Linked DNA regions of Caenorhabditis elegans. The protein of the gene in region 2 purifies or fractionates together with the protein of the main gene of each other region. This does not show direct contact. Each region holds a gene or a part of one and is shown on either strand. Other genes may lie near its edges.

Region 1 (6,148 bases), on a different chromosome or scaffold from region 2:
AAAAATAGTCTGAAATTCAGAAAAAAACATTTTTACACTTTCTTAAAGGTGGTGTAGTCGAAAAAGTCGAATTTTTTCTATATATTATTATTAGACTTAAAATTGTCTGAAAACGCCGAATTTCATGACGAAACTTCTTGAAAACTTCTCAAAAAAAAGTTATAACGGCTTAAAAAAAGACTTAAAATGAGTTAAAATTTGAAATTTGCCCGACTTGTCAAGCGGCTGGAAACTAAGTTTTTTGAAATTACCGTCTAATTTTGGGTATACAATGTTATTATCTTGCGTTTTCAACCTTATTTAGGTATTTTAAAGTCGATGGACGGCGAGATTTTTAAATTTTTTAAACCAAATCTCGCCGTCCATCGACTTTAAAAGACCTAAATCGAGTTGAAAACCCAAGATAATTAAATTGTATACTCAAAATTAGACGGCAATTTCAAAAAAGTTAGTTTGCATCCGCTTGACAAGTCGGTCAAATTTCAAATTTCCACTAACTTCAGGTCATTTTTTGAGCCGTCATAACTTTTATTGAGATTAACCTGAATAAAAGATAATTCAGGATCCATCGTTGTATTTCCAATATAACATCTATCACGTAAATTATATTTGGTTTTCAGCTCGGCTCGTCCTTCACCAATTAGTTTTCCGAAATAAACTTTCTTTGGAGCTTCATCACTGGGATTTTCGTATTCTTCCACTAGAAACAGCTCATTTTTGGGGGATTTCAGGCAAATTGGCGCTTTATTGAATGGGACCACGTCTAAGAAAGCCTGATTGAAAAAATAATTAATTTAAATTAGAATAAATTAATGATTTCTCACTTTAATCCGTTCAATACTGTCAAGTTTCTTTTTCCGCCCGATTGCAAAGAATCGAATCGCAAAGCTTTCCTCTAATTTATCGAATTTTTCTATTATTTCCGGCTTGTTATCAATTTGCTCATACATAATATCGTATGACTCTGCCTCGATCGATAATTCAATTGCATATTTGACTAGAATCGATCGTGAAAGCAGCTTCCGAACTTCTAGATGGCTTTCGAAATTGACGATGAACATGTGGTCCTGTAAGATAATTTAAGATAATTTTGTGTGGGGTTCTCGTAATAATTTTATATACCGTTGTGTTCAGCTTTTCCGATAAATCTACTTTTATTGAGAACATTGAGCAAATTGCTTCGAATTCTGCTATCCTGAAGTCTACATGACTTTGCGAGAAGATTACTAGCACCGGGAGCATTTTCTCTGCAAAAAATTGGAGATTTTTTCAGTCTCTTTCAACTAATGTAAATACGCTCTCTTGTGACTAAGCGCGCGCGTTTGAACCAGAGGACAATTTTTTTCCTCAGCGCTAGTAGCCCCTGAAAGAGTTATTCATACTTGAAAAAAGAAACTTTTCTATAGATTTCTGCATGAAAAATCAATCCTCAGCGCTTCTTCTCTTGCTTTTCCTGATTGTAATGAAATTTTAGAGTTTTTAAATTGTAAAAAAAAAACTAAACAAGTTCTTTTTGAAGGGAAAATTCGTTTTTAAATGCTTAAAATGCTTCAAAAAAAAAACAAATAAAAAAAATTGTTTCTGTGCATACACCGTCACGACAAAATGCAGACTTGCCATTGGTCTCGCCGCGAAAAAACATGTTTCTTTTGAAAGATTGTCTTAATTTTTTGATTTCAATCATGATTTCAATCAGAATTTTGCGATCTTTCAGCATTTTTATCTATTTTAAAGCTTTATAAATTAAAAATTAAATTTTTAAAAATCTTCCAGATTGTCATACGGGTCCCGGATGATTCATTCCAACGAGCCACTGCCCTACGCTATCGAATATGCAAAGTCTGGCCGGTCGAATTGTAAAACATGCAAAAAGAATATCGCGTTGGTGAGAGCTTTATAAAGCCTAAAAAGCCTAAAGCCTAAAATCAGCCTAAAAATTGAATTTTTCAGGATCAATTGAGAATGTCAATGAATCGCCCGTCAACATTCTTCGATGGAAACATGGATTCGTGGTTTCACTACAATTGCTTCTGGATAAAAATGATTCGCGGCCGAGATGACATCAATATAAGCTCAATCCGAGGAGTCGATTGGCTTCGCTGGGAAGATCAGGAAAAGCTTCGCCAGGAAATTCAACACTTTAAAACCGCATCGCCACCGACTCTGACACCCCTGTGCTCTACCACTACCGTCATTTTGTCCACAATAAAAACCGAAAAATCGTTGTCAAATCGTGGGAAATGTGGAAAATGCGGCCAAAATTTCGAGCGCGGCGAAATCAAGGCTCATAACAAGGGAAAAGCCAACCATTTCAAGTGTTTTCTGCAGGAATTTGATAAAATTTCCGGCACCGTTGAGGATATTCCTGGCTGGGCGGATTATGAGGAGAACTTTAAAATTAAGGCGGTTGGGGAGTATGTGGAGGCTTTAGCTGCGAAAAGGCGATCCACGGAGCCAGCTACCCCGGCTTCTGCCTCTCCAACACCACCAGAAGCTGAAACTCCAGTTTTATCTGCAGAAGGATCCCCGGAAAGCTCCAATAAACGTCCGGCAAGCTCTGAAATCATTGAAATCGACGGTGAAGGGAATCCAGATGAGAATGATTTTGCGAAGAAAAGACGAATGAAGAAGGAAGCAAGATTGATGGAGGTTCAGAAGAAGCGAATGAAGGTTTTTTTTTTTCAGTTTTAATGGAGGACTAACGGTTCGGACGATTTTGAACGTATAGACTCAAAATGAGCTCAAATAAACGAATTTCGTAATGAAACTGCTCAAAAAAATTTCAAAAATGTTTTATGGCGGTTCAAAATTTTGAGAAAATTACACTGATTTTGGCTAAAATCACGATTTTTTCCCATTTTTCCGTGTCACATCTGTCCGTAGTTGGCTTTTTTGGAATTATCGTCCTTTATTGCATACATTGGTAATTAATCTCATTTAATTTCGTCGATTAAGGTACATTTGAAGCCGATAGGTAACCAATTTCGATAATTTTTGGTTACCTATCGGCTTTAAATGTTATTTGATCGACGAAATTAAATGAGATTAATTACCAATATACGTAATAAAAAACGAAAATTCCAAAAAAGCAAACTACGGACAGATGTGACACGGAAAAATGGGAAAAATTCGTGATTTTAGCCAATATCAGTGTAATTTTATCAAAATTTTGAACCGCCATAAAATTTTTAAAAAAATTTTTTGAGCAGTTTCATTACGAAATTCGTTCATTTGAGCTCATTTTGGGTCTATACGTTCAAAATCGTCCGAACCGTTAGTCCTCCTTTAAAACGCTGAAAATTATTGGAAAAATTTACAGAAACAATCCGATCTTCTCTGGGAATACCGCCAGATCTTCGAAAGAATGCCGTACACCGACAAAATCTCTATATTACGAGAAAACGAGCAAGACATTCCAGAAGGACACGATCCGACTGCACAAGTACGGGTTTTTCAGTGAAAACTGGACAAAAACGTCGAGAAAATAGCCAATTTTCTGCATTTTTATACGAAAAAAATCGAATTTTTTTTCGGTTTTTTCCAGAAAAAAATCAGAATTTTCCCATTTGTTTTTCGATTTTTTAGCTTTTATAAGGGAAAATTGAAAAATCGAGGAAATTTAATCAAATTTTTGTTCGTTTTGATGGAAAAATATTGAAAACAAATTAATTTTTAATAAAAAAGAAGAAAATGGACAAAATTTGAAGCTATTTTTGGGGAAATCGATTTTTGTTTGTTGAAAAATCAGAAAAAAAAACCAAAAATTTTCGTTTTTGTTCCACAAGGGCGTCGTTTTTCCGATATTTCGAAAAAAAATTATCCATTTTTCCAAAAAATAGCCTAAAGTTTTGGTCATTTTTCTTGTTTTAAACAGAAAAAGGTCCCCATAATAATACAAACTTCCCGGCAAACGGGCAAATTGCCGAGAATGAAAAATTCCGGCAAACGGGCAAATTGCCGAGAATGAAAATTTCCAGAAAACCGGAAATTTGCCATAAGTGAAAATTTCCGGCAAACCGGCAAATTGGCGAATTGCCGTAATTGAAAAATTACAACAAACCGGCAAATTGGCGAATTGCCGTAATTGAAAAATTACAACAAACCGGCAAATTGGCGGCACTGAAAATTTCCGGCAAATTAGCGAATTGCCGGAAAATGGCAATTGTCAAAAAAAAAATTTCAAAAAGGCACAGTTTTCAGCGTTTCCGTCTTTAAAAAAAATCCCTTAAAACTTCCGGCGAACCGGCAAGACGCCAATTTGCCGGAATTGAAAATTTCAGCCAATTTTCCGATTTTGTCGACAAAAAAATTTGCCGAATTGCAATTGCCGCCCACCCCACATAAAAAACATGAATAATTTGTATAGAATAAGAAAAATGACCAAAATTTCAAGATATTTTTGGAAAAATCGATATTTTTTTTCGAAATATCGGAAAAACGACAGAAAAACAGAAATTTTTTGGTTTTTTTCCGATTTTTCAAAAAAAAAATTTTTTTTCGTATTTTCGCATTTTCAAACTTCAATTCTTTTTGCAGGTAATCGAACGCCTAGTGGATAATGCCCTATTCGGATGCCCAATCATTTGCCAAACATGTTCAAATGGAAAAATTGTCTATAATTCATCATGCCGCACATATGTCTGCACTGGATATGCTACAGAATACTCGAAATGTACTTATGAATCAAAGAATCCAATTCGAACTCCATTCGAAGTTTCTCACCGATTAACTGAAAAGCATAAGCTTCAAGATATTGTATTCAATCAAATGAGTGAACGACTTTATATAGGAGAAGAGGATGGAGAATCTGTAGTGAAAATTGATAAAAGAAAGTCGAAAGGTGGTACTCGTGGTGAACAATTCATTTATGCGGCTGAAGCATTCGATTCGACTAACAATGTTCCGATAAAAGTCGGCGATCTCACATCAACCAATACTCATATTATTAAAAAAGGAACAGTTGTTGATGCGAAATTCGCACTGGCCGATCGTTGTCATGTATTCAAAAATGAGATTGATGGAAGTCTCTATCAGGCGACACTCTCGTTTACTGATCTTACACAGAATAAGAATTCGTATTATAAGATTCAACTGTTGAAGGATGATCAGAGAGAGTGAGTTTTTGGCAGAAAATCCTCCGAAAAAGTCGGAAATTCAAGAATAGCAGAAGAAAAAAAAAGCGAAAATTTGAATTCCCCACCCAAAATGAGAACTGCTCAACCAATCAGCGATTGGTTCAATATTGGGTGGAGCACATCACTGATTGGTCGTGTAGTTCTCATTTTGGCGCGAGCAAAATTCTTTTTTTTTTAAATTAAAGCTGGTGTAGTCGAATTTTTTTATTGCTTTATAAGAATCAAAATTGTCTGAAAACATCGAATTTCATAATGAAACTTCTTGAAAACTTTTCAAAAAAAAGTTATGACGGCTCAAAAAATGGCCTAAAATTAGTTGAAATTTGAAATTTGGCCGACTTGTCATGCGGCTGGAAACTAACTTTTTTGAAATCACCGTTAAATTTCGAGTATACAATGTAATTATCTTGAGTTTTCAACTCGATTTAGGTATTTTAAAGGAGATGAACGGCGAGATTTTTAAATTTTTTTAAATCAAATCTTGCCGTCCATCGACTTTAAAATAACTAAATGAAGTTGAGTACGCAAGATTTTCTTAAATTACATTGTATACTCGAAATTTGACGGTGATTTCAAAAAAATTAGTCTCTAGCCGCTTGACAAGTCGGTCAAATTTCAAAGTTTAACTAATTTTAGGCCATTTTTTGAGCCGTCATAACTGTTTTTTTTTTTGAGAAGTTTTCAAGAAGTTTCATTATTAAATTCGGTGTTTTCAGACAATTTTGAGTATAGTAAAGCAATAAAAAAATGAGACGCCACCTTTAAGGATTAGCAGAAGAAAAAAAAACGAAAAAAATCGAATTCCCCCCAAAATGAGAACTGCGCGACCAATCAGCGATTTGCTCCGCCCATATTCGATCTGATTGGTGCAAAAAGTGGGCGGAGAACATCGCTGATTGGTCGTGTAGTTTTCTTTTTGGCGCGAGCAAAATTCATATTAGAAATGCGAAATTTTTTGGATTACTGTAGCCCCAAAAATATTACAGTAATCCAAAAACTAGGAAAAATTGCAT
Region 2 (7,736 bases):
CAAGGAGCCTCTTTTCTTTGAGAAGTTTGTCGTAGGCATCTTGAAGTTCAACAAGTCGCTCTTCCAGGTTTCGAAGTCTCTGGTCAACATTCGTCTTATCCAAAAGCAGTTTCTGTCTAGCTTGTTCCTCTTGCTCGAGTTGCTCCTCGAGATCACGGACGGTTTCCTAAATTGAAAAATTCACAGTCCGCTAGAAATTATTAACACTTACCATTTGCTTTCTCCTCTCGTCATTATTCTTTTCATTTTGCTGTTCTTCCTCGGAAAGACGGTCTCTCATATCGTTGACAATATACTCGAGCTCTTGGTTGCGAGTCTGAAGCCGACCACGGATATCGTCCAGTTCAGCACTGTTCTCCGATTCTTGTTGAAGTTGCTCTTGAATCACAGCTCGCTCGACAATGACCTGAACAAAAAATCGTGAGAAAATTGTGACGTTTTGATCAAACACTCAATGCTCACCTGGTCTAGCTTCTTCTCGTTTTCACGGAAGTCGTGCTCCATCTTGAGAAGCCGTTCTTTTGTTGCACGCAACTCATCATCTTTAGCACGAATCTCGTCATCGGTTCTTGTAACTTGAAGAAGAGGTTTCACTTTGGTGAATAGTCTCCACCATTGCCAATTGCGAAGCTTCAAATAAGCAAGTCCATTACGCTGAATGATACGAATAGCACTGGATTGCTGTTGTCTTCTGGTGTAAAGCCGTCTAGAAAGGAATCCTCTGCATTGTGCTTGGAAGTTCATAATTAAAGCGGTGAGCTTGAGATCTCTTTCCTCTTCAAGATGGGCAAGAACTCCTGTTCTGAAAAACACTTTGGATTGTCCAATTCTGTAGAGATTTGTGTCAATGTCCAGAGCAGTGATCATCTTGCGAACAGATTCCTTTCCATCGATAAAGTTTTTAGGAATGACATCTGGTGTAAGGATTTCGTATCGATGACGGAACTCTTGGAATGGAACTCTATTCGGGAAACCTTGTCTGCAAATTCTGATTCCTTCGAGCACACCGTTGCATCTCAGCTGCTCAAGTACAAGGTTGGAGTTGATTTTTCCGGACTTCTTCTCGTGATTTGGAATGATACAACGAACAAAGTGTGGAGATGTATTCCGAAGAGTAGTCATAAGCTTTGTAAGTTGCTCTTTGTGCAATTGCGAGACAGTTCGGAACATTCCCTTGCGAGACCTCATTCCAAATGCAGTCTCATTCATTTCCGCCGCACAGATGCCAGCAAACTCGGCGTCCTTCCAAATTCCAGCAACAAACGGATCAGTGGAGTTCTGCATTAGTCCAACAACATTTTCATTCAATGGATCCATGTTTTTCATGAGCCATTGATCAGCAGAGTAGTCGACGCGGCCAGCGTAGTGAACAACGGCAAAGTGGCTCTTAGATCGCATATCAGGAACAATGAACTTCGGATGCTTGTTGTGTGTTTTCTGAAGCTTCTCAACAAATGACTTGTCGTTCGCTTTAGGGAAAAGGCATTCTTCATCAAGAAGGGCCAGAACTCCCATTGGTTTCTCAATAAGATCAATTGTCGGCTGCAAATCGAGTCCGAAATCAATGAAATCCCATTCAATTCCTGAAAATATTATTGTAAATCTTTGCAAGTTACATTTTCCGAAAAAAAACAAACCTTCTCTCTGATACTCTTCTTGTTCTAAAATGAACATGGTATTGTTGAACAACTGTTGAAGTTTCTCGTTTGTATAGTTAATGCAAATTTGTTCAAATGAATTGATATCAAAAATTTCAAAACCAGCAATATCGAGAATTCCAATGAATGATGCTCCTTGGCGGTGAGTTCTATCAAGAGACTTGTTGATTCTGGTCACAAGCCATTTGAACAGCCTTTCATAACTGGCCTTTGCAATGGCCTCGACGGCAAACTCGGCTTGTTCCTGGTTTTGTGCCTTGTTCACAAACTCTCTTCCAACTTTGATGCGTGGACGGAGGAACGCCTTCTGCAGCTCGATTACTGGGAGACCAAGAAGATGGCACACCTTCTGAATCACTCTGTCATCCTGAAGCATTGCCTGATCACTCTTCTTCTCCTGAGTGAATTCCAGGTTTCCGAGAAGAAGGACGGCAGAAACAACACGCATAATTGCTGAAAAAACATGGTTTTTTGATTTTCAGGTTCAATATGGTTTACGTACATGAAATTTCATCGTCGGCAAATCCCATAATGCGCATGGAGTTGATTGTGCTGTGAAACTCTTGAACATCGTCTACGTTTGGAAGAGTTATTCCACGATTTACCAAAAATCTGTAGTTGTCGACTCCTTCCAAAAGGTACTCACCTGAAATTATTAGTTAAATGTGGAATTTTATATAATTTTTTGATACATGAAAAAAACTCAGTTTTTGTCACTCTTTTGGGCTTTCAAATGTTATGATCAATTAATGTTTAAAATGTTGATATTTAAACACTGTAGGGATTCAAAAATGCGGTAGTGCTATAGTTTTTTGAAAAAGTAGCACAAACTCAATAACAGCACTTTTTTGACCGTCAATTAAATTTTTTCAACATTGATTTTGAAAAGTTTTGTTATGATATTTGGTTACACTTATAAGTGGTTTATAACCATTTTTCCACTTGGGTTACTCCTGTTTCAATTTTTAAAAGGCCTAACGGTTTTACTTAAAAATTTTCAACGTCATTTTTGTCAAATGATGAATCACGCATGATTCACCAGGCTAATAAAAACAAATGCGTTCGGTTTGTTATAAATCCAATTCTTATGTTGGATTTTATGACTCAACCTACTTTTTTCTTTGGCGCTGCATCCTCTGAGTATCTGATAGAAAATGTGGAAACTTCTTTCGTCTTGAGCTTGACGAAGCACTCTCGATTTTTCCAGCAGATAAAATTCAATGTTCGCACCACTAATGTAGCCGCTCATGTCGAAATTGATACGGATAAATTTACCCTGAAAAAAAAAACCAAATATGCACGGGGGGCAAGATTAAAAATATCACACATACGAATCTGGAAGAGTTGTCATTTTTCACTGTCTTCGAGTTACCAAAAGCTTCAAGGATTGGATTGGCTTGAAGTAGTTGATGTTCCAATTCTCCCTGAAAACTTCGATATTAAACGTGTAAAACTATTTTGCAGTGGTGGCTAAATGAATTAACATGACTTTGATCAGGTTGTGAGCACAATAAAACAACATTTTTTGATTCGAGGATGAAGCTCTTTGGGAATAATTTGTTTGGAGAAAGCCGTTTGGATTTTAAAAGCATTTTTTATAATAATCTGTTTGCAGCAAATGGGGAAGAACTGCATCTTTTTTGTTGATTTCCTTAAAGGAGGAGAAACGGTTTGAAAATTTTTGAACTTATAAACTTTAAAATGTTCTCGAATTTTTAAAAATGTTTTTTCCACAGCTTAAAAATTTCGAAAAAATGGATAACATTCGCCAAAATACTCAATTTTGGCTTATTACGACTTTTTTTAGTTGAGCACATTTTGGGTATATACCTTCAAAATACACAAAAACCGTTACTGCTTCTTCAAATCAATTAGAACAATTAACATAATTAGATATGATTAGACAAGTTTTTTTCTGTTGGATTTTGTTGACATATTAGAACAAGGTGATGTACTGAACAAGAAAAATCAATAAATAAATTGTTACGGAACAATATTTTTTGTTACTGAAATAGTCACAGAAAAGTGTATCACGACAATGTCACGACAACAATTCACAACAAAATAGCAAGATAACAAGATCAAACTTACGATCGGATTGCGGACATCTGGCTAAATATATCAATTATAATAATTATTATTCTTCATCATATACCTTTTAAAGTAGATGTAACAAATATTTATAGTAACTAACCTTTTGAACAATATTTTGCTGTGCAGCAGCATTTAGCGACTTGTTTCGAGTGGCTCCAGCAACGTGAGCCAAATATTGAATAACTTTTTTCGTGTTTTCAGTTTTTCCTGCTCCAGACTCTCCGGTACACAGGATCGATTGATCTTCGCGTTCTGAAAAGAATATGATTTTTGCAAACGCTTTGTTTGGAAAGTATGTATATTGCTCACCTTGAAGCATACTTCTGTACGCAGTATCAGCAATTGCAAATATGTGTGGTGGCATTTCGTGTCTCTTTTTTCCTTTGAACTCTTCAATCAAATCTTCCGAGTAAATTGGAAGCTTTTTGTAAGGATTGATAACAACACAGAAGAGACCAGAGTAAGTCTAAAATAGTTATTTTGAAATTAAAATGTTTTTTTTTCTCAACTCACATAAATTAAACTAGAATAATATCTGTCTTTCAAGTTGTGAAGTACCGACGCTTCGTTTAAATACGTCAACTCTGACATATCTTCGATCTTGTCAAACTTTGGTGGATTCGCTTTCTGAACGTCATCTCTGCTGATTGTGACCTGGCGACTCGTGTCCACAAGCTCGACGAGCACTTCATCGTTTGTTTCTCGTCTGAAATTACTACCGATTACGGAATGAGTTGAGAGCACGCAAACTCACTTGATGGATCCAATGAGAAATCCTTCGTTCTGATCTGGTACCCAGCACAGTTTCCGCTGTGCCCACGCGGCAAGTGTGGCAGGATCGGCAACGGCCGCCCTCTGTACCTGCAGGTACTGCAGGTCACCCATTTGTTAACTTCGTAATATCTGAAAATTGTTTTCAATTTTAATTGAAATTGAGATCCGTTTTGCTATAAGATGTAAAGAGCGGAAAATGAGCCGAAACTGAAAAAAGAAGAGAAACGAAAGTGGGCGGAGAAGCGATGGGAAAGCGGATGGGCGCAAAAAATAAAACAATAAGAAGAGGTGAGTCACGTGTACGATTGAAGCAAATCAAATTTAATAAACATTTGTTCTCCAAACAATCATGTACAGTTTTGGTCGTTTTAAGACCAAATGCAAGAGGCCAAAATGTGCAAATATCATAATGAAAGACTCCAAAAATTTTTGGATTTTTTCAACTTTCTAGTGAAAGCTGTGGTGAATTGCCACATTTTTGAAAATATTAGTGTTAAGGAAATTATGTTTAAAAAAAATTAATTTAAAAAAATTAAAGTATAAAACTTGCAAAAATTTTTTTGCTCGGCTTCCAAAATCATAAGTTACAAAAACTGGGGCATGTTTTGACAGGAAATAAAAAAATGTTTTTAAATGTTCTACAATGATATTTGGTAATTCTTGTACCACGATAATAGTTTCAAACACTAAATTTTGAAAACAAAGATTTTGTTTTCAAGACTTTCTTAAGACAAATGGAAATTCAAAATCGCTTCCAACGCTTGTGATAGAAAATATTATTCTAAAAAATTCTAGACAAATGCTTTCATGCAGGCGGAGCTTGGAAAGGCGGAGAATCTGGGAGGAAACGCGGGAAAACGCCAACAAAAACAATGTGTTCCTGGGAATGAATCATCTGTACGATTTTTTTTGAACGATTCGTTTTTATAAACATTTTTGATGTCCGTTCCACGCCAGAAACATGGGATTGGAATTTTTTTTTGGTTGGGTCTTGAACGGAAATGAAGATGAAGCGAACAATGCAAAAGTGTTTCAAGTTGGCATTAAAGGTAGTGTAGCGCTAGTGGGGAAAAACAATTTTTGAAACATGCATATGACACTACAAATTTCATAATAAAAATATTTTCAAAAAATTTAAAAAAATTTAAAATGGTATTTTTAAAATTGAAAAAAATCTTAGTTTTTGCCACTTTGTGAAAGTCGTAGATCAAGAAAATTTCCTAGTTAATTTTATGGTCTATTTATGATAAAAATATTTGTATTAAAACACTTATAGTGCTCTAATTTTTTTTCAAAAAGTGGCAAAATCTCGGTAAATGCCACTATTTCACTGTCAATAAAAAAATTTCAAAAATTTCAAATTTGTTGTGAAAAGTTTTATTTTGATATTTGGTCATTTTGTCGCCATAAAAATGGTTCCTAACAACTTACCAATTGGGAACCTTCAGATTTGAAAAATTATATGGGGAAGTTGGATTAAAACAAATAAATCTAAAAATGGACTCAAATATAAATAATGTGGGACAAAACGCTATCGAGGTCAAGGAATGTAACCGATTTGGATTTCAAAACGTTGATGGAAAACAGAAAGACGACAAATTACTGGATTATAAATAAAAGTGCTGAAGGAAGCGAACGATGAACAAAGAGAGAAGGCGGTTTGGTGAGAGGATGGAAAGTACGGACAAGGTGTCCAGTTGTTCTCCAACAAGAAACGAAGAATCGCCTCTCCTCCTAAGCGGCTGTTATGTGGTACTAGACGTGTGTGTGTGATCGAGGACGGATACAGTGAGGGTGTCGAGTTAAATCTCTCAAAACGTCTCAGGCAGTGTGGAAGGGAAGGCGTCGTACGGTGAAAGTGAACAGCGGCGAACAAGGCGAACACGAAGAAGGACCTTTCGTTCGCATCGCCGCCAGGTAGTCAGAATAACTCAGCGGGGACGAGGTTGCCGCACGACCATCAGGCTGGATTCAGGAGGGAAGGGGGGGGGGGGGGGGGAGTGTGTGAAGGATTGGTTCGAAGAATTGATGTCCTTGATTCGCGCGCCAACCCAACCTTCTTGTCGTTCATCCTTCTTCCTCGCTCTCTTTCTTTCTCTAAGCACATCCAACTTTTTCACCTTTTCTCATACACACACACACACACAGACACACGCACAGTCGCACACACACATACATAGATATATACACATACAGACATACAACATGAAGAAACTATTTGTCACCTATCCAACTCTTGCGTATAGATGACCCGTATGATGCGTGTACTTTTCGGATATGGATATGCAGAACAGAACGCCGGTGTTCACGGAGATTGTGATCACCGCCCCAAGGGGTGGATGGTTTGACACCGAAATTTTAAGGACATCTTTTGTAATCAGATATATGAATAAAGTGTCAACGAGGCAAAAATATGCGGCAATGACTCAAGCCTAACTAGGGAAGATATACATTTTTCTATTCGACATCCTGTGTTTCCTTCAAAAAATTTAGTTGCTCCAGAGAAGGTTCAGGCGAGTTGTAGTTGTGCAAAAAATTTCTTAGATGTTTACAAAAAATGTTATTCTGAAAATTGATAAATTACTTGTACTTTGTAAGATATATAACTCTCTAAAACACCCTCGAATAAAGCTACATATCTTGAGCAAGTTTTCTAAAAGTGGGGTTTCATGGAGCGCAGTTTAACATATATATTTTTCGAGAAATATGAGCTGAAGTTGTATGCTTTTTCACCTTTTTGAACAACTCATCAGTATTGTTTTCAATTTTCAAAAAAAAATTTTGAAATGTAAAACTTTTTGAAATAAAAAAAGTCAAAACTCGGCTGAACCTGCTCTAAAGCAGCTAAAATTATATTATTGGGAAGATCATTAAGATATATGCAAAGTATGCAAATCACAGACAGTGGGCAATTTTGAAGATTCAAATTGCATGTTTTTTGCAAAAAAATCAGGACTATCAAAACTTATTGTTAGGTTTCGAGTTGAAAATCAAGATTTCAAAAAAAAAATAGACGACAAAGAAAAAGCAGTGTAAAAAAACAGATTTCATATGAATCATTGTATTTTAAAAAAAGGTGATGCCGTTACACTATCAGTAGTGCTAATCAATGTTCCCGCCCTGCTTATCGGACGGAAATATTGGCATATTTTATGAGTCATGAGTGGAAGTTGAAAACTGACAACTGACACCCCTCTGTATTGGACGAGC

The links.
Region 1: the proteins of nmy-1 (region 2) and parp-1 fractionate together in Caenorhabditis elegans (co-fractionation; one large-scale study listed by BioGRID). This does not show direct contact.

The regions. Positions count from the first base shown.
Region 1 is NC_003279.8:2,920,339-2,926,486, reverse strand, and holds the start of parp-1 (Poly [ADP-ribose] polymerase 1), read left to right. Parts: upstream 1-1,773; 5' UTR 1,774-1,792; coding exon 1,793-1,885; intron 1,886-1,950; coding exon 1,951-2,670; intron 2,671-3,319; coding exon 3,320-3,442; intron 3,443-4,536; coding exon 4,537-5,114; intron 5,115-5,196; exon of another isoform or gene 5,197-5,301; intron 5,302-6,148. Other genes in the region: Y71F9AL.1 (tRNA (guanine(10)-N(2))-methyltransferase TRMT11), read right to left, coding at 543-773, 825-1,067, 1,123-1,242. UniProt on the Caenorhabditis elegans protein: Poly[ADP-ribose] polymerase modifies various nuclear proteins by poly(ADP-ribosyl)ation, a post-translational modification synthesized after DNA damage that appears as an obligatory step in a detection/signaling pathway leading to the reparation of DNA strand breaks and programmed cell death.
Region 2 is NC_003284.9:2,906,457-2,914,192, reverse strand, and holds the start of nmy-1 (Myosin-11), read right to left. Parts: upstream 4,667-7,736; 5' UTR 4,638-4,666; coding exon 4,507-4,637; intron 4,459-4,506; coding exon 4,266-4,458; intron 4,219-4,265; coding exon 4,062-4,218; intron 4,005-4,061; coding exon 3,853-4,004; intron 3,771-3,852; coding exon 3,750-3,770; intron 3,083-3,749; coding exon 2,990-3,082; intron 2,935-2,989; coding exon 2,772-2,934; intron 2,305-2,771; coding exon 2,161-2,304; intron 2,112-2,160; coding exon 1,638-2,111; intron 1,584-1,637; coding exon 463-1,583; intron 407-462; coding exon 212-406; intron 167-211; coding exon 1-166.